3 linked regions of the Lytechinus pictus genome follow. The protein of the gene in region 2 purifies or fractionates together with the protein of the main gene of each other region. This does not show direct contact. Links are inferred from orthologs where the notes say so. Each region holds a gene or a part of one and is shown on either strand. Other genes may lie near its edges. The genes, in order: proteasome assembly chaperone 3-like, proteasome assembly chaperone 2-like and proteasome assembly chaperone 4-like.

What was found.
Region 1: the proteins of proteasome assembly chaperone 2-like (region 2) and proteasome assembly chaperone 3-like purify together in Homo sapiens (affinity purification with mass spectrometry; 4 studies listed by BioGRID and IntAct, counting the BioPlex papers as one, with this or other methods). This does not show direct contact. The link is inferred for Lytechinus pictus from reciprocal best matches to the Homo sapiens genes PSMG2 and PSMG3.
Region 3: the proteins of proteasome assembly chaperone 2-like (region 2) and proteasome assembly chaperone 4-like purify together in Homo sapiens (affinity purification with mass spectrometry; 3 studies listed by BioGRID and IntAct, counting the BioPlex papers as one, with this or other methods). This does not show direct contact. The link is inferred for Lytechinus pictus from reciprocal best matches to the Homo sapiens genes PSMG2 and PSMG4.

What each region holds. Positions count from the first base shown.
Region 1 is NC_087255.1:4,224,119-4,231,571, reverse strand, and holds the start of proteasome assembly chaperone 3-like, read right to left. Parts: upstream 3,010-7,453; 5' UTR 2,885-3,009; coding exon 2,846-2,884; intron 1-2,845. Other genes in the region: transmembrane protein 53-A-like, read right to left, coding at 6,908-7,024, 7,179-7,453. UniProt on the Homo sapiens protein: Chaperone protein which promotes assembly of the 20S proteasome. May cooperate with PSMG1-PSMG2 heterodimers to orchestrate the correct assembly of proteasomes.
Region 2 is NC_087246.1:42,917,809-42,924,914, forward strand, and holds the start of proteasome assembly chaperone 2-like, read right to left. Parts: upstream 3,020-7,106; coding exon 2,777-3,019; intron 1-2,776. UniProt on the Homo sapiens protein: Chaperone protein which promotes assembly of the 20S proteasome as part of a heterodimer with PSMG1.
Region 3 is NC_087246.1:50,377,367-50,384,606, forward strand, and holds the start of proteasome assembly chaperone 4-like, read right to left. Parts: upstream 3,095-7,240; 5' UTR 2,981-3,094; intron 1-2,980. UniProt on the Homo sapiens protein: Chaperone protein which promotes assembly of the 20S proteasome.

The sequences.
Region 1 (7,453 bases), on a different chromosome or scaffold from region 2:
TGGAAAAAGGGAATTGTAATTCCTCTTCCCAAGAAAGGAAATAGAACACAGATTTCTAACTACAGACCGGTGAGTCTTACATCGATAGCAGGAAAACTAATGGAAAAGATTGTGAGGAATGCTGTAGTGGATCATTTGCAAAATAATCAATTGTTGTATTATAACCAACATGGATTCATCCCAGGACGGTCATGTTCCACACAACTTCTGTATGTGCTTGAAGAATGGACGCAGATGCTTGATGAAGGGAAGCCAATCGATGTTTTGTACTTAGATTTTCGCAAAGCATTTGACAGTGTTCCCCATGAAAGGCTACTACGTAAACTAGAGAGACACGGAATTACGGGCCAACTTCTTATCTGGATGCGAGAATTTTTGACAGGAAGAGTTCAGCGTGTACGAGTAAACAGGGAACTATCTCCATGGTCTCCAGTATCAAGCGGAATACCGCAAGGGAGTGTTCTCGGACCTATTCTCTTCCTAGTCTTTATCAATGACCTATCATCTGCTGTCAACAAGAGTAATGTTGCTTTATTTGCCGACAACACCAAACTTTACAATATAGTGAGTGACTTATCAAAGATCAAAGATCTTCAAGAGGACCTGGATAGACTACAATTATGGTCAGCGAAATGGCAGTTACCTTTCAATAGCAGTAAATGTAAAGTTCTACACATCGGAAGGAATAATCCAGAAGCAAAATTTTATATGTTGGAACAAGAAGTGAAGTCAGTAGCTACTGAAAAGGATCTTGGGGTAACAGTTGATAATCAATTGAAATTTCATCAGCATGTGTCTCTAGCTGTTAATAAGGCATACCAACTGCTTGGAATCGTAAAGAGAACTTTCACTCAACTAAACAAATCTACCTTGCCCATTCTCTTCAAGACATTAATTAGACCACATCTGAAATATGGGAGCGTCATCTGGAACGGTAGATTTACAGAACATGCCAAGAAGGTTGAGAGAGTACAGAGGCGAGCAACAAAACTAGTGAAGGACTTGAGAAACGTACCGTATGAAAGGAGACTCAGGGAACTTAACATGTACTCACTCTATTATAGACCATGTTGCATATGTTGTCAAAAAAGCGAATGGGATACTTTCATGTATTCGCCGCAGTTTTGAATGTAGAGACAAATCTACAATCCCAAAACTGTACAAAGGACTTGTCAGGCCGATCATTGACTATGGCAACTCTATATGGTATCCTAGATTTAAGAGTGACAGTAAAGCCATTGAGAAGGTACAGAAGAGAGCAACAAAAATGATCTATTCCATCAGAAACTGCACATACACAGAGAGATTAAAAGCACTCAATCTTCCTTCTCTTGAGTACCGCAGAAGACGAGGAGATATGATACAGGTGTTCAAAATAATCCATGGATTTGAACGCATTCCAGGTGATACTTTCTTTGTGTATACAACAGGCAACACAAGAGGGCATAGTCTGAAGCTCTCAAAACCCAGATGCTTGACGAAGATCAGACAAGATGTTTTCAGCCAGCGTATCATAAACGACTGGAATTCGCTGCCCGAAGAGGTAGTCACTGCTCAGACGGTGAACAGTTTCAAAATAAGGCTAGACAAGGTGTGGGCAGACCAGCGGTACTGCTCACCCTATGATGCATAAACCACACTAATATTGAGGACGGTGCAGATTTCCAAGCTAGACTGCTATGAAGATACCTAACTAACGAGAAGGATGAAGGACTTGAACTGGAAGCACGACTGCTGGGATCATCAGCATTCTTCCAGAATCTCGGGTAAAGGTAAAGGTAAAAGAAGGAGGAGAGGAGATTATGATAATGGTCCACCAGATTATGCATGGATTGGTCAACATTTCTCCAGACCATTTCTTCTACAAGTCTGGTAGTAACTCTACAAGAGGTCACTCCATGAAATTATTGAAATCCCATAGCAAACTGGAAGTGAGAAATAAGTCTTTCAGTAGAAGAGTCATCAATGACTGGAATAGTCTTCCTGAAAACCTAATACAAATGCCAACAACAGACAAATTTAAAAGAAATATTGATATATTTTGGCAAAGAAACCACTTTGAGCTTCCATGACTCCTCACGCAAGCTCATGAAGTAGTAGTTTTCAGTGACCAATCATACAAGAAACGACCGGGAATTACAGGCTTGCGCCTTCATCCCGTACCAGATGATGATGATGATGATTATTGTACATGAATTATGAAATCCTTTTTTTTTATGCTCTCTTTATGTATGTAAATATTTAATGACTAGAATTAGTAGAAATGCATTTATAATGTTATGTGTTGTAAATATGATTTTTTTTTTTTTACTGATATGGAAATAAAGACATTGAATTGAATTGAAATTGAATCTATTCTAGGCCTAGAGCAAAAAGGCACAATGACAGCCAACATCAGTGACATAAACAAATTGCTAAATCAGCAGATCTGCTGCTCGGGTTTTTTTATCATCAATTTTTCATAAGTATATCATGATATTGTCAATGAATCATAATTCATAATCATTTTTTTTACGAATCACGTAGATCTACATAGTAGTACATGAACGACCATACGAAACATCGAAAGTTAAGCCTAAAAGTGTAAATAGACCAAAATGCAAACGGATTTAGCCATAACTTGTAGGCTAGTCTTCATTTACTCATGATCAATATGGCCATGGGAATATCAAATTGGGATTGGGTCGAATCTATTCTATTTCCATTTCCAAGCATAATAATGAATGCACGGGACTGGGGCCCTGCCTGGCCTGAGCAATTTCTTGCTCCGACTGCATTTTCAAATTATGCTAGTATTGCATTGACTCCTAAGCCTTATTTATCAATATTGCAAGTAATCACTTACCTTTTTAGTAACTGGATACGTTGACTGAACTTCCATCATGCGGGCTAAAGCCTAAATCAAGGACTTTTTAATCCACAGGACAGCTGTTTGTTAATGTGCCGTAGCCGATGTGGGCGGAGCCAGTGAAAAGGGAAATCCCCGATCGATCGGCACATGTCAGATGTGATCTGGGCGAGCTTGGGAAGCGCTGATCAGGGGGGGGGGGGGGGGGGGGGGGGGGGGGGGGCGGCTGGAAGTTCGATCGTCTTCTCCTTTTTTAATGCCTGAAAAGAAGAAGAAAAAACAAGGGGGCTGGGAGGGGGAAAAACTGGGTAAAAGAAAAAACATCCCTTGAAAATATTTTACTTTAAATTTTAAAATAATTTTAACTGATTTCCCCAGGTATATGTCTATAACGGTTAAATCAAAGTCAACCCCTGGCCCCATCCGCCCCCACTGCTCCATACACCTCTTTTTTTTTTAGTTTACGAGTTTTTACTTTTTCCTTGAAAACATTACCAACATCATTATTTCTTTCATATAGCTCTAGCTCTTTCATGATAAAGACATTAATTTTTGGAAAAAGTGACTTATTCATTTTGTCAAATGTTGCACACACTTAATAACATTTCCTTCTTTCGTATTCAAATTTATATTTATCTTCTCTCTCCCGTAGGTCTTTCTAAAATCTGTTGTTCATTTTTCCAGATTTCTCTCTTCATCTTTTACTTGTTTTATTCTTTTTCTCCCACTTATTACCCCTCCCATTTCCTTTACCGATCTTTCAAATATTTTATTTCTCTCTCTCTTTTCTCTCATATTCTATGCCAGACCATTAATATCTGTCTCTCACTATACAAACTTTATATTTGTTGTCTCTTACCTAGTATTCCTCAACAGGGGCCGCGGAACCGGGGGGGCTTCAGCCCCCCCACTTTTTTCCAAAACCGTGTACAAAAACGCAAAAATGACCATACGATTGTGATTTTTTGCATGGTCAGCCCCCCACTTTTGGCTCAGCCCCCCCCCCCACTTTGAAAACCGTTCCGCGGCCCCTGCTCTACTATGCATTTCCACATTCTCTCTTTCTTTCATATCATTTGTCAATCTTTCAAATATATATATATGTCTCTTGCAAGATCAGTTTCTCTCTTCTTTTTTTTTACCTCTCCTAAAGGAAATACCTCCTATCATTCTCCAATTCATTCACAATCTTTCTCTTATTTTTCCCAGAGACACCCCTTTCTTTCTCCATTTCTCTGAATGTCTGAATATTAAAAGTATATTTCATGGTATACATGGTTTTTTGTGTGTTTTATTATGTTTTGGAGTGCTTCTTCATATTTCATACCATCAATTCCTTGTAGAATGCAGTCAGAGGAAAATTATCAGATTTTTTTTTTTGTTAGGGGGGGGGATTAAAGGGATGCACAGGTCCCCTCCCCTTAATTGGTCTTGGTCATATAGGATAGCAGGACCCACAGGCTTTCATGCAGTATTGTCATAAATTTATTTCAATGGAAATAACTGATAAAATTATCTGATCCTCACATGCACAGGTATGCATAATTTCATACATGAACAGTACAAGTGAATGCCCTTGAAGTGAACACTGATGAACAGTACAAGAGAATAATTACTTTGTAAGATACCAACCTGTAAGATATAGAGTTAAATAACTATATTGGTAACTGAATATTAAGCTGCTTTGACACCAATCACAACAACATCATCAATATACACATCATTAACAATTAACAGTTAAACCATTTTCTATTAAATATTAGTTCTCCTCTGGCACAATATAATTTACAATTTCGAAAGTAAAATGGGCAGGCTTTTCTAAAAATGCACATTTATATTATGATTTAAAAATTATGTATACACATCAAAATTCATATTGCAATATTCTATTTGAGAACACATCACAGCCAAAGTCCAACATATCATTACAGATATCTTATCAAGACTAGGGCAAATGAATTTGGTCAGTGACCTTACTCCAGTGCCCATCACAGCTTTGACCTTTTACCCTCAATACTAAGGCTCAGAAAATATGATATCACCTGGCTTGCTGATAGACCTATGTTGGGATTTAATTGGAAATATATAATAACTTAATAACTAAGAAAATAATTGACTGGATACATGAACATTTACCATAGTTACACTGTACGTTTATTACTTATTCATAATTATGGAACTAGATTTTTCATCCTCAATATGACAGAAAATGTTAGGATATTTCATTCAAGTCAACTATAAATTGTGTACTACACACACACAAGCTTGCCTAAAATAAGTATAAATAGGGTAAATCTAGATGCTATTTGGATGTAAAACACTGATCTCATTTAGACTAGAGTTCCAAATACAAACACTTTTCTGAAGTTACAAAACAGTAGAGGGCCAAAAATAAAAGAATGGTGTATTTGAGTTTCTGAGATAATACAATATCATATATTTAAATATTGGTCCCATTCCAAACACATCTTTCACAAGTTTGGACATAACATGTGCCCTTTTTTTTTTTTTTACTTCAAAGTGACATAGGCCTACCCTTTTTCAATCCTGACTTGATCCTGACTTTAAAAGATAAAAATATTTCAAAATTTGCTTAACCATTTAAAAGATACTCATTGCATCCCAATAGGATGCAAAAACACCAATTTCACGGGTTCAGGGAGGAATCTAAACTTTTTTCACATTATAAGTATGAAAATATTTTATATAATTTGCTAAAATAAAAAAAATTATCAAGCATGTGATGTTGATGGTTCCCTCTTTTGCATACTGTCCAAAAAATCAGACTATATCTGATAAAAATACGGCAAAGTATCTTGATGTTGAGCTGCAGAGGAAATTCAGCTGGAATCAACAAATACATATAACGAAAAAGGCCAACTCCACACGTGCCTTCCTCCAGAGAAATATCCAGCCATGTCCGAGAAGGTCAAGGAACTGTCAGTGCTCTTCTGCAACCAATCATGTGTTTACTTGCACGCTGTAAGCAATTTTTTATCGGACGATGTACATACACTTGCACACTGCACTTCAACAGTACGATAATACACCAGACGGTGGCCTGTACTGTGCTTTTTGATAAATCACCTCAGTTCTGCATTTTAATTATTGTTAATTCATTGTTACTTCTTTGATGACATGCATAATGCTTTGCAGAATTGAAATAAACTTGAACTTGAAGATGAAACATTTACATAATTACTGTTTTGTGGATTATATTTTTATGCAAAACTTTATTTTCTTTCCTATTTAAATTCCGATGTTGATGAAATGTCAGAGATAAAACTGGTTTTAATTTTCCCCATTTCTTCAAAACAAACTTTGGTTGGGAATGACTTGGTCTTTAGTGCCTAATAAATGCACATTAATTCCCTCCTCGAAAAAAGTTGATTTGAACCAACAGAGAAAGATCAAGCAAGCATTAGGCTGAAAATTTCATCGAAATCGGGTGTAAAATAAGAATGTTTTGACATTTCAAACTTTCGCTTATTTCACATAATAATTATCAATAAGAGAACGGATGATGTCACTCACTATTTATTTTCTTTTTATTGTTTGAAATATACAATATTTCATTTTTTTACAGATTTGACAATAAAGACTCTCTTGATTGAACCATAAAATGTTAAGACAATTGACATCCCACATGCTTAGGGAGGAATAATAAACATTGTTTCACATGACAATCAAAATAAAAATATTTTACACATTAAAAAAAATAATTGTGAGCAAATTGATGTCATCGGCTCTCTCATTTGCATACATATCACAGAGTTGTGTATAGGCCTAACTGTTTTGTGAAAGATAAGCAAAACTTCAAAATATTTTCTTATTTTACATCTGATTTCTGATCTGATTTTACATCTGGATCTGATTCAGTGTATACCCCAGACAGCAATAATATCTCCACGCAATATTGGTCAAGTAAATCTCTAAAGACATTTTTTCTCTAAAGACATTTGCAGAATGCAAATAGTCATCAAATTGACACAAATCAACTCTTTAAAGCCCTGGAAAATCCCTCACTCCCCTCCCTAGATCCCTATACAGTATACATCTCTAGTCTTGATTAACTCGTTCTAAGCAGTAATTCACAAACTTCAGACAAGCAGAAACATATTCTTGAGGGTGTTTCCGAAGGTGAGCGACATGATCCGTGTCATCCCACACCACCTCCTGGGGGGTGTTTCATCAACATTTTCATCCGACAAGTTGTCAGATCTGACATCTTTCTCTGATGTTGATTGGCTGAGAGGTATTGTTACTATGGTAACTGTCGGATAAAATGGGACTTGTCGGATAAAACGTCCGACAAGTCCTTTCATGAAACGCTCCCCAGGACATCAAAGCCCTGTCGACGCCTTTCTGCAATCACTCCCTGGACGTCTTTGTAGGGAACAATCTGATCTTTCTTTGAATACAAAAACAGCTGGGGACACCGCATCCTGTCCGCAAGCATTGCTTTGTAGTAGGTGTCACGGTCTGATACTCCTCTCCTTAGGTAAGAAATAAAGGAGAGCACCATGAAGAAAATCCAAATCCCAAGAGACTTGATGAATTTGATGAACCAGTGTTGTGTTGGAGGCATCGCTGAAACCATTGCCC
Region 2 (7,106 bases):
TGATTTTTCTCTTTGATATGGATTCAGCTAGTTTCAAGGGTTTCATTCTCCTTTAAGGATAGAAAGGCTTACTAATTTGGGAGATGTTTTCTATGTCTAAGTGTCATTATGTAATATGTCATGATGTTTACACCCATCTGCTGAATAGAGACAACCAAGGAGGGGCATACAAGAAAAGTCCCCGAATATGGAGAGGAGGCATATCAGCTTACCGGTAAGTGGTCTTTGATGTTGTCCTTCAGGTATTTTTTGCCACATCGATAGTGTCAGTGACTCCGGCTGTTAAAAACTGATGCCTTAAATACTCAGTTTAAGAAAATATGTCTGAAAGAAAATACAAGGATTCCTTTCACCATGCGTACATATGTAAAGGACATTGACAAAGTAAAGCTTCAGAAAACAGGTACACATGCCACTATTGTAGGGCTTACACTAACGCTACTGCTCGTTCCATGGAGATTTAGATCAATGTAAATCTTTGACGACATCCATGGTGAAATATGTCTGAGATAATATCTAAAACTGATGCAATTGGGATGATACCCCTACAGTATTGGTAAAACAAACAAATGTTCTGTATTTGTAATGATCATTTGTTCAAATAATAAGGCTGGAACATCTAAATTACAGCCATAATATAGTATCACTGCTTGAACATGTTGAATGGAGTGGGAAAACACTGAATTGTGCAATAATCTTCAAAGTAATAATCACTCCTCAGAGTGCCAAAACAGACTCAGTGATGATCTGGCGAGTCTACATGTGACTCCTTACTGCATGTACTGTGCTATAAATCATCTCTGAACCAATCCAGAAAGACCCAAATTTAGTGTATTCCACCTTACAAACAGAGAGCAGATCAAAAACTGAGGGTCAGATGGTAACAAGCCAACCTACCTTTGCATCATTCTAGACCATTCTTTTTCATACAAAAAACATGCTGCAAAAACAAAAGCAAAATATGGAGCAAGGAATACCTTTCTGAAGAAGCTGGGAAACAGAAGGGGAATTGACAGATACCAAATCTATCTGTACCACAAATCTTGCTCTATCCTTCTCAACTGCTGCGTAGGCAGACCTTGCTGCTAAATATTTACCCCAAGTCTTGAATGTAGCTTGCAGAGCCATCACTGGCTGTTTGCGATTAACAGAAGTGAGTAATCTTTACCTTCTCTGTATTATTGCCCCACCGCACGTCAGAAGAGAAGTTATCAGCACAGATCGATGAAAGAATAAACAATCAAGAAGATAGTATTCCACTCGTCAACATGAACCTGCCAAGAGACTCAAATCTAGACATAGTTTTCTCCGCTCAACAGAATCCCTTGATGACTCTGCACGCATGAAAGCGTCACCCTCTGGTCTAACAATCTCCAGTCTGTGATGTACAATCTCACCTATGGACTTAGTACATCACTCTCCAGGTTCAAGTGAAGAATGGCCTACCTGATCTTTTTGAATCGCCAATGGGGCTACAATAGGGATGGAGAAACTACCTGCAACTGTAAGGAAGATCATAGGATACAACACTTTCGTGTCTGCTCCCTCCTACCAGAGCTATGAACTGCCACTGCCTTTGCCACTGCACAAGAGCCTTTTTACAGGAAAGCTACATGTAGATTTTGTACCATTTTAAACAGGACATGACATCTTTAATGAACCAAGAAGTAAAAAGTGTGTCATTAATAATGAAAGGAAGACGACACCTTATGGTAATCTGACATTTGGGGGAAAAGTGATTATTTACTCATGGATAGTTGGATGGGGGAGGGGGCAGGGACTTAATAGGTTCCTGATGGGGTTGTCGGTTAGGTCATGGACCTAGGTCCACGATTTGGCTAAAACTTTGCTGAAATCGGTGCCTTTATTCTTGTTGTTAGTGTTTTAAGGTGAAAATTACAATTTGCCAGTGAAAGAGCAAAGATATTCGATGCTAACATTCTTACCCAATATCTACATACCCCCCTTAAAAAGCCACCTTTTGGAGAGACAAACTCCTGCACACCTAGGCTCCCATTTGGTCACTACACAGGTCCTGTGTAGTAGAGGGTTCAAGCAAGATCTGGCTTTTGTGTTGAACGACTCCAGATCTTTGGCAGCGCATGGCTCTGGTGGTAGGGGGGCAGACCAAAAGGTGATGCACTATCTGATCCTCCCCTCAGTCATAGATAGTGTCTGCATCCCTGCTGTAGCCCCGAACTGCATATTAAGGACTTTGCATGCACCTTCCTGTTCCAGACCATAGGCGATTAAGACATAGCCAGGATGGCCATTTGTTACTTGATCCTGGGGGGCATGATTCGCTAGGTCACTCGGAAAGCTTTTGCGTCACAGACTGTCTTGATTCCAGTCTCTTTTTAGCAGGTTCATAGTTAAAAAGTGGAGGAAGGGCATATTTTTTGCTTGTTTTTCCACTCGTGCTGATACCTCTATGTGTGGGGGGACTGTGCCACACAATAGGTAAAGATCATCTACTCTTTTTGGTAGCAGACAGTCGGAAATTGCTCTGCAAGCAGCATTCAGGACTGGGTTAAACTTGTAGCATACATCAGAGCTGTTGAACGGATGGTTTGGCATCTGCTCCCCATATCGTGTTAGCAAGCCTCTTTTTGATGTTGTTTCTTTCTCCAGATTTTGCCTCTGTTTTGGCAACATGTTCTTTGTACGCAAGAGTGACGTCAAGGTAGGCAGGCTTGCTGGTGTGTTTCATTCATTTTCAACACCATCTGACCATCAGTTTCCGCTCTGCATCTCATCTATTGTTAAGGTGGAATACGCTAAGTTTGGTTTTCTCTGGATAGTAAAGATCCAGATATGCCAGAGCATCACTGAATGTTTTTTCCACCTCTTCAAATGACTGCTTCTGTGAGGCAATGTACCGTTCATCAGCATAGGTAGCTCGTTGGACAAGGACACTTCTTTGTGGGTGACCATTTTTCTGCCTCCACCATTTGCTGCTGAAACCACTGAGATTCACAAGCAACCGGTTTGAGGGCATGTTCTGAATGAGCCTTGTCATCTTGACGTTCTTTGTCATCACAATGACTTTCCTTGTAAGTAGGCCTACACTATGATTAACTGTTTCATAAGCTGCAGAGAAGTTAACAAAGGCTACTCCAGTTTTCAGACCTTCCTCAAACCATCTGATGTACTGAGTCAGATTCATTACTTTTGATAAGTAAAGGACTTTCCTGGCCTGAATCTTGCCTACTGGAATGAAGAACTCAGTTACGAAGGGAGCAATGCGGTTAAGCAGGAGCCTTTCAAAGGGCTTGTACATGTATGTGTGAGAGAGTAGAGAGATTGTTCTGTAACTCTTTCGGCTGATTTGGGTCTTTGCCTGGCTAGTTAGGCAACTACCCTCAATTTCCTCTTGCCATTGTTTTTTTCTTCATGCAAACAGTGGTTTAACATGTCAGCAGCCATTGGGCTGCAACAGATCCAAGAACTGTGATCTGCTCACAGATGCCATCATCTAATCCGGTTGCCTTGTAGCTCTTCATTATTTTCTTAAATAACAGCACAAGTAGACAAGACGTTCATGCTGAATGGTCTTGTGTATTCAAATGACTCTTAGTTGGGAAGCTGTCACTGCACTTTTGGGGAGGTTGGCACTTTGCGGGCAATATAGGGTTACCGTGAATGTACACAAGAAGATAGTGAGCCACTTGGTCGGTGGTCACTAGGGGTATGACTCGCATAGTCGTTTTCAAGGATCTGAATTGTTTTGCCCGGCTTTTCTGCTGTTGTGAGTCATGTCCATTGATTTATAGAACTACTGTCCCTTTCTTTTTTTACTTTCCATAATGGCAGTTGTCAATTTTCCCCCACATTCAAGTGTATCTGCACCAAAGGGGTAATGCTCAAAGCTCCTGAAATATTTATTGTACAGCAGCTTCGTCATCCGTCCAGCCTGGAGGATAGTTTGTACGGCAACCTCGTGGAATATTCTTCTGTGATGATTTCTTCAACAGCTTTTTAAATCTGAGAAATATTGTAAAAATTCTTGAGTACTAGAGCTAGGGGATCTATAAATAACACCGGCGATAATATTCTTATTTCCAGGAATCAAAATTTCAATGAAGAGGTTGTTGCAAACAGAAATTTCATTCAAAATAGTATAGTTACGTGATTTGCGAATGAGAGCAACACCACCACCAACTTTATTTTTTTCTATTTTTATTGATGAACTCATAATCCTTTATATGAAATGGGTGGTTTAAATCGTGATTTAACCAAGTTTCCGTAAGGCCGATCAGAGAAAGTGGGTTTGACATGGGCTTACCTATAAGTGAAAGGTCATCAAAATGTCGATTCAAACTTCTGATATTTAGGTGAAGTAAGGAAAATGTATTTAATTCAAATTCTTTCAAGACACTGGAAAACTGATTGACGGTTATGTAATTAGTAATTCCTCGTTGGGCTGGGTCATTGAAATCAAAATCAAACTCCAAGTTTACAGATGAAGAGTTCATGCTATCTCTGATAAGATTGTCGTATAAATTAGTAGAGGTAAGAGAGGCATCATTAAATTGAATAGGTCGATGTCACTCGAAGAAATCGTCATTACTAAGCCTATGGAAAGGCAATGATTGTCTATCAAACGAATCAGACATCGTCATAGATTATAAAGTATTTTCTCAATAAAGATATTTGGCGATTAAAAGAAATCATGTCTAAAATGGCGCTATCAGCAAGATATAGAGGATGTGGGGAATGAACAACGTCCACTTGAAGTAAGATTGGAGACGAGTAGATGGATAACAAATGCAAATGGAAGAAAGTGGTGATAAGGAACAAACAAGTGGAACGCCTCTGGCAGTCTCGCCTGCATTACGCGATTTAATATAGCAGCAGTGCTAACTTTGAAAACTACTATAAAATAATCATTCACAAAAACACCATTCATATAATGACATAATACCACGTTCATTGACCATAGATGACATTTGAACGGTGACTTAAGACTTGTCAACTACACCTATGTCCACATTTCATTCACTCTTTCCATAAACTTTCAAAGTTATGATGGCAATTCAACAATTACCCCAACATGGCATAAGTTTATTGACCTTAACTGACCTTTGACCTGGGTTTTGTGACCTGAAACTTACAGGGGATGTTCAGTGATAATTGATTACTCTTATATCCCAAGTTTTATGAAATAGATCCATAAACTTTAGAGTTAGGATGGTAATTCAACAAATGGTCGCATGTCATAAGGTGCTCCAATTTCGCGAACAGGGTAAAAATGGTCAAAAATTTTATTTTTTGAAATGTTATAGCTATTACCATTCTCTAAATAATGAAAAAGTTTTACGTCTCGAATACCTTTATTTTTCCTTGAAATGACTAATTAACATATAATTATTACATAGACGTCAATGTAAATGTGAATTTTGAAATGCGTTTTTCTCAAATTGGACCTGCTGCACATAAAATAAAATAAAATGTCAAAAGTTAATGCAACATTGGATCACCCTAGTAAATTGCAGTTATAATCTTGAAACATCAATAATTAAATCTGTACCAAAAATCGAATAATTATCTATTATTGTATGCATATTAATTATACTAATTAATCAACAGTATTTAATTTCACATTTTTGCCCCAAAAATACCTATGGGCAATTCCATGTTACTCACGTTACACAATTTAGGCACCTTAACATATTGTTATTGCCATATTTTGCTTACTGTGGGGTTTGACAATCTATCTTTTCTGTACATTTAATTTCTCAAAAATGACATACATTCCCATGTAAATGGTAAATAAACATGATATAGATGACCAAAATGATAATTTTCAGGCTCCCAATTGAATACATATAAAATTTAGAAATATTCAAGATCACCAAGATAGTTCTAATTGGACCATTGCCATGGCAACGGCTTGTTTTTCCCCAGAAAAATAAAAGACATAATTAAAAAAACGTTATAAAATATGATTTATCTCTAATTTCCCCCTAATTTCAGTGTTAAACAAAGATATTTTGGTTGCTAAATGTATAAATTACATCTCAAGCCATTGCCATGGCAACCAAATAACATCTAATTTACAAAAATAACATGGTTGACAACACAATGGACAGGTGGAAAATAGAATTAAAATTGACTTAATCTGTATGCTTAAGTTTTTACCCCCTCATTTGAACAAAATATACAGAAAGTGTTCTGCAGGAGTTCTTTATAAAGATAAAAAATAATGTTGCCTTGGTAATGCTTGAATTAAATAAAAAAAAAACAATGTTGCAGAGATCCCGTTGCCATGGCAACAGCCTATTTCCCTCTAGAAAGGTAAAAATATTGATAAAAATGTAGAATATATATACATGTATGATCATCATTCCATTTTCAATATTTTAAGGTACTAATCAAGATATGTTTGTGACTAAATTTTTAAATATAACATATTAAGCCATTGCCATGGCAACCAGATAACATCTAGTTTAAAAAAAAAACAACATGGATAACAAGTTATGGACAGGTGAAAAATACAATGAAAATTAACTTAATGTACATGCATAAGGTTTGACCTACTCAATTAGTTTAGGGGAAACAATACAGTGAGTGTTCTGCATGAACTAATTAGAATAAACATTGATGTTGCCTTGGTAATACTTGAATTCAACAATCAATGTTGCAAATGACCTGTTGCCATAGCAACGGCTCATTTACCCAAGAAAAGTACCAGTTTTGATTAGAAAAAGGACTGTACAATCTGATTTTTCTTTCATTTCCCCTAATTTTAGGGTAAGAATGGATATGTTTGCTGATAACATACAAATAACATCTAAAGCCATTGTCATGGCAACCAAATAACATCTCATTTGAAAAAAAAAACGTGGTTGACATGATAATGGACAGGTGGAAAATGCAATCTATAACAATTAACTCAAGATTTGACCCAGTCAATTAATTTTGAACAAAGATTACAGTGTTTCGCATTAGTTCATTAGAATGATAAAATTTGAGGTTGCCTTGGTAATGCCTGAATTTAATGATAAATAAAAATGTTGCATGTGGCCCGTTGCCATGGCAACGACTCCTTTTTTTCCGAGAAAAGTACCAAATTTGATCGAAAAACAGTTTAGAATCTGCATTTT
Region 3 (7,240 bases), about 7.5 Mb from region 2:
GTTTACGTAAGACCATCTTAAAATGTTTTTGTCACATTTGATGAAGCGGTGGATGGAACAACAACCCTAGTATTGCATTGCAGTTTAAGTAGGCAATTCTTCAAAATAACCACGAAAGAGAATTTGTTGTACCAAACCTGACAGCAGCACTTCATAACCAAGGCATTGCAGAAGTTTGTGAAGCTACTCAATGAGCCATAAGAATTTCATGATCACATCCTGCATTAACTTTACATGTATGTGGCAGGATGTGTTAGGAAGCACATCATTTTGTAAGTGCACTATTTTGCCAAATAAATTGAAATTGTGGTATAGATATTTTCAGCATCTCTCGTGCAATGAGCAAATGGCGACTTAACAAAGATCCGTTGACCAGTGGATCCATTCCTTTGTTTACATTCCCAATAACAGTTGAACCACTAGTGATAAAGACCTGCTTTTGTCAAAGATATATTTCTGTCTTTAGGATTTATATTCAATTTAAATTCTTCAATAAAAGAGTCATTGACAGCTGGAATAAACTCCCAGGAGAAGCCATCAAGTCATCCACACTCCTCACCTTTAAACAAAGACTATCAAAATTGGGTTATTAATGGACTACAAAGCCCCCAAACCCTGCCACACTATTATCTATCTCCATGAAGATGGAAGTGTGGTGCTTCAAGGTAATAAATAGTGTGATGTATTTTGACTTCAATTATGCAGATAGTGTATTGTATTTGTACCCGTACAGAGATCCTGACTGTTAGTCATCTTTTACAGTATTTGTACTGCTTTCCCCCCCAAAAAAATACTACAGGACAGGTTTCATGGAACAACTCAGTAACTTTTCTTCCAATTGTAATATTACAAATAGTGCTTATTTTCTCTTGATTTTTGGCACAGATGGTTTCGAAGTTCATTGCATGCCTTTACATTGAATTCTTTGTTTGTAATTAAAAAAATTTGTGTGCTACTTTATTTTACTTTCCACCGATAGCATGAAGGCTACACTTGTTCACTGCAACCACCCTACCTATTTAATTTAAAAATTTAACAAAATTAAAAATATCACTTTTGTAACCCAAAAAACTTTCCATATGGTTGTGATTTATTTTTCATTAGTAACTTGGGGATAATTTTTTTTCATTCACAAAAGCGCTCAAAAACTAATTTTGAGCATTTTTTGTCTCGGCCTCTAATTGTGTAAAGTAAAATTGCAAGAAAATTGTCATTTAACAATCTCTATTTTTAATTCATATGAAATATTAAAAGAACTCAATTTACTTCAGAGCCAAGTTATATGATGAATACAGTAGTTGTAGTGGAAACTGACTGTAAAACAAAATCAAGCATTTGCTGATCCCCAAAAAGGCAAGAACAAGATAAAATAATCCAAACATTGCCAACCATATTTCCCCCACACAGAGATTCCTAACAACAGAGAACAAGGCCTATCGCAACTTTGTTTATTAAATGAGTGGAAGGCTAGGGCCTCTCAAAAGACTCGAATATGTACCAAGTCACCACTCTAGGCGACACCCCAATACTTACCCGTGCTAATAAACTGGGACTCCACTCACGCGCATTTGGGCCGCCCTAGCTTAGAACTAAGCTTTGTTTTACTAAAAAATAAATCTTGTAATGATTCAATAAATGTTACTTAATAAATTAGTACTGTTAAATCGGTACTCACCGGTTCTTTTCTTGAATTTTCTGGCAATTTCCCACGCTTCTGGCTTCAATTCTGCGGCTGTTCCTGTCGCGGTAGACAGCTACATATGCAACTTTATTTATAAATAGAGCGCCCCTTACGATAGTTGTTAAGAACGCGGCCAAATTGTTAGGTTTTTTGCACTGTGTCCAAGGCGTTTTTATTTTGTTTGATTTTTATTTTTTAATAAATATTTTGTTGAATAGCGATTTTTACGTCAAATATTAAATTCATCTCACAAAATATTTTTAATTGTAGAAATATATATAATATCATGCAATTATTTATTCTATATATATTTTATAATAAAATTTATAATTGTTGCGGTCTTTAAAAAAGGATAGTCGATCGATCAGGTGATGACTACTCGTATCACGTGATCTGAAAATCAGCTTCGTACCGCTTTGATCGCACTCGACGGGACCGGACTGACTGCCAAGAAAAGATCGAAAAAGGACTCAAATGTAAGTTTCCCTTTATTTTATAACATTTAGAATATGAGTAGGATTATAGTTAATGGGTAATTTTTTAATAAATGCTAAACAAATGAGGACAAAGGCTCAAAGCTTGCATTTTTCGAGTAATAATCACTAATATCATAAAAATACTTGGGTGCAGGACTTCTAACCTGTTTTTAACGCATTGTCGCCTATGAGGTCCATACATGTTAATGTTTGGACCTCATTGGTACTAGGAGTGCAAGTCAGTACTAATCAAAATCAGTTTTTGAACATTCTGGTATGTCACTTTTAACAAAAACTAAAACTTAAGACTTCATTCCATTCACTGATAATCTGTTTTTCATTATAGAAATATTGGGGATTATATTTGTTTTAATTTACTAGACTATAATGTTTGGTGAATTAAAAAAAATATAATCCCCATTCCCCAATGAAGCTTGCAAGTTGCAGTCATTGCAGACACCAATCAATCATTGACATTGTCACAAATTGCCCAATTTGTCTTCTTTGACTTTGTACTTCCTAAGCTAGGTGATATCTTAAAGATGATCTTTTGTTCTGAAGTGTATTGTAACTTAGGAATAGAATCAACAAAGACTGAACATATTGCTACCCATGATAAACCATATCCAAATTCAAACAAATTATTCATGATCATGCACATTCATTATTGTAAAATTTGACATGACAAACATAACACAATTATGAATACGTGGGGCACTCGTTTGATCACGAGAAAAATATGAAGTCGGAATTTCTACTTTCACAAATGATTACGTATTCTAAAGAAAATCGAAGACGTCATGTTTATACCTAATATACTTACATACTTACTTGGTATATGACTTAAATATCTGGTTATTTTTCTACTCACAATCTCACGATTTTAAAATCCCTTCTTACTTGCATGACATACCTCGATGACTCTCAATTAGCCTTTGTTCAAGAATGAGATATATTTCTTCCAGATCTATATAGACGACAGCTACATATCAATATGCTAGATTTGTGAGTTGATTACCGAAGACGGTGACATCGACTCGCGACTTGTCAAGATGACAAGATAAATGATCGACGAGTCGAGGATGAACATGCTTGCAGGCACGTCGAATACATACATAGGCGGATCCAGGGGGGCGGCCGGGGGCCGGGGGCCACTTACATTGACGAGTGGATACCGTGCGCGACCAAAAAAAACACGTAAAAAGGATGTCTTTTTCAAGATAGGGCACGTTACGTACGTAACGTGATAAGGGTGTCAAAAACACAAAAATATTGAAAAAAGGGTATCTATTTCGCTTTGAAAAATATACGTGTTTAGGGTCAAATATGCGGGGATGATAAAACAAAATCAAAATGTTTTATAAAGGATGTCCTTTTTGCCCCAACACTACGTGTTTAGAGTCCGATTTGCGCGAGGTGTGGACTGGGGCCGCCGGTACTAAACCAAAATAATAAAAAACGGCAAGACAAGAGTTTGAGGGACAAGAGTTTGAGGGACTTACTCGTTCACTCCAGAATGAAACCACTTGCAGTCAATCAATCCCAGCGGCAAGGAACAACATCTTGCAGGAGACGTAGGTGCAACACGTGCCGTTTTGTTTCTGATTGCACTTTGCTGAAGGGGCCGAATGGCACGTGGGAAATAAGGGAAGATTTTACCTGTACCACCACCAACCTGATTTATGCCATCGTCTGCTCTCGCTGTGACTTGATCTATATCGGGGAAACCAAGCGTAGGATGGCCGACAGAGCTACTGAACACCTAAGGTCCGTTAGACTCAACACTCAAGGTCTTCCTGTGGCCCGTCACTTCAATTTGCCTGGGCACACCATAGATGATATGAAGATCTTCGGAATTCTATCTTGCAAAGGAAGTGATGAGGACAGAAAGCTTTTGGAAGAGAAGATTATCCATCGCCTTGGATGTCTCCAACCCAATGGACTCAATGTTTCTTTCCACTCATTTCGTCTGACGTAGATATTTCTTTTCTTCTTCTTTTTCTTTCTTTTTATTATTATTATTATTATTATTATTTTTTTTTCTTTTACCCACTCTTCCTTTCTTTCCTTTTCTTTTTCCTTCTCTTTTTTCTTTCTTTCTCCCCTATCTCCCTCCTTCTCACCCGCTCTTTCTTTCTTTCTTTCTTTCTCTCTCAATGTTTCTTTCCACTCATTTCGTTTGACGTGGATATTTGTTTTCTTCTTTTTTTTATTTTTATTTTACCTTCTCTTCCTTGTCTTTCTTTCCTGTTCTCTTTCCTTTTCTTTTTTCTTCTCTTTTTTTCTTTCTTCCTTATCTCCCTCCTTCTCACCCACTCTCTCTTCTTCTTTCTCTCACGCGCTCTCTATCTACTCCTCCTACTGTCTTCTTTCGTTTCCCCTTTATGACGTATCCTTTTCGTCATCCTTTGTGCGCTTTTGCTCACTGCTTGGATACCGCGCATTTTTATGATGCATTATTTTGACGCAATCTAATAAATTTGTCATAACTTGACAAAGCCCTATGGGCGAAAATTCGTTAAAATATTACTGTCCACGGAGTTTTTATACTTTTCTTTGTTTGAACCTATATATATATATATATATATATCCCTGAATCCCTGAATCCCTGCACCCCAACCCGATTCCCCTTATACCCCCAACTCCCTCTCACCCACCCCCTCTACCCCACCCCCTCTCTCTCTTCATCTATCTCTCCCCACACACACTCGCAGTAAAAGCCCAAAAATTCTCCAGTTTTTACATTCTATTATCATTGAATCATCCAGGCTAATCAAATTGGGAGAAATTACCGGGGAAAATTAGCACCCTTAGTATATGAGTCAGCCCATCCGGCGACTAGCCCACCCTCCAGCCTCCTGGGCTTTATCCACTCCGTTTTCAATTGAAACAAGTGGCACAGCTAGCTAGCCCCCCCCCCCCCCCTCATCACCATCCGCATATCATGTTCATATACTTGAAAGTCGATGCAAGTATAAATCATATAAAAATGTCGATGCGAGCATTAAAATTACGCCCTTCAAACTCCCAAAGCCGGTAGTGGACCGCAGAACGGTTTTGAAAGTGAGGAGGGGGCGGGGCGGCTGGCTATGCAAAAAAAAGAAGAAAATCAGATGGTCGTTATTACTTTTACTACTCATTCCTTGAAAAGTGCAGGGGCTGCAACTCCCAGTTCCTCACCCCCTTGGATAGTACCTCAATGTTCGAATCATTGACTTGGGGAGGGGTTGAATTATTGTATTGTATTTTTTTTATGTTTGCCCGTAACTATGGTAGGCCCAACCATTGACAAAAATGTCCCCTCCCCCACTCGATATGCCCTTACACTTATAGGCCTAGATGCTGAGCATCATCCTCATTTTCTGCCTAGATAGGCACCTGTTGATGGAGGTCATTCTCCTTTTGGCAGGAGGTCCTGGGCTTCCTGTTTGTTTCCTGCGCGTGTAATCAGCTGTTTGAATCATCATATTAGTTAGTACCGGTCTAGCGGTAGGGCTGTTGACAGTGTGGCTTGGATATACCTCTGTCACACCTTAATAGGGACTCGAGAGTCATAGAAAGAGCGATAAAAACGAACCATATATCCAAACTTCTTGATGAATTATGCTCCAAATCAGGGGCGGCGGAACCAGGGGGCTGGCGGCACTTGCCCCCCCCCCCCCCTCCCCAAAAAATCGTAGTAGGAAAAAATCCCTTTTTTTAAATAACATGTTCCCTTTTCGAAATGAAATACCCTTTTTGAAGTTAAACATAATACATTTTAGGTTAGAAAATCGGAAATTTTAGCTCGCGCTTCGCGCTCGCATCAGTTATTGTTTAGTAAGGTACTCGCAGCCTGTTCATGGTAACAAAAATGCTTATATAGAATGTTCAGTTGTCGGGTTGGAATATCACAATTTCGGGGCTCGTGTTTCGTGCTCGCATAAATTATTGTTTTGTAAAGTACTCTGTTTCTGGTTATAAAAATGCTTGGAATGTCTAGTTTTCAGGTTGGAATGTCACAAATTTTCAGCTCGCGCTTCGCGCTTGCATTATTCGATTGATGAGATATGTATCCTATTCATGAGTCACTAAATGCAGTCTTTAACAGGTTCCTTTTCTGGTCGGTATATAAAAAACATTCAGCTCGCGTTAATTATTTAGTTAGATTTTCATGATTACAAAAACTGTTTGGAATTTTTAATTTTCATGTCTTATTGAAATATCCCAAAGTTTGAGCTCGCGGTTCGCGCTCGCAACATCTTGTGAGAATACCCTTTTAACAGTTATTAGCGCCATTATTGACCAAAAAGCGAGTTTTACATCTTCAGATTTGTAAATTTTTGAAAAAGCGCTCGCTCGCTACACTCTCTTGCGGAAAGAATAAAGCCACAATATACGATATCTTATCAACCAGAAATCACTTTTAAAACGCTTTCCTCAACTTATTTAGTACAAAACACACATCTGACTCACACAGATGATAATTTCATGGTGAAAATATCCGTTGCACCAAAATGGCCATTTTGACAAATTTAAAGGTGCCCATTTTGGCTTTGCCCCCAAGACCCCAAACGAAACGCCCCTGCTCCAAATCACAATATTACGATCCTGGCCAAGCTTTGAAAATTAATATTTATTTATTTAGAAAATTCCTTTTCCCCTATACTCCCTTATACCATTTCAGCCAAACTTTTGATCTTAAAACATATATTATTATGTTCGTTAATAATGTTAATTTGCATTTATCATTCTACTGGAATATTTAATCCGGGGATTTCATGAGCCTATGATGTTAACACCTCTATCAATTCGATGTTCAAGTTAAAGATAAAGTTACCACAATTTAATTCCAGCGATATCCCTCAAAGTGAAAATCTATATAAACTAAAAAATAACAAAATTATATCCAAACTTCGTACCAATATTGAAAAATGATATTTTTGAAAAATGGAGAAAAAAATATTCGATTGCGATTTGAACCCCCTACCGCCCCCTACTCACCTTAGTATGTTCTTAACGATTAAACATTCTTACCTATACCCCCACTTCAACGAAAGACATGAAAGAGAGGAAAAATCCTGCGTACTGCAAATGAGAAGAG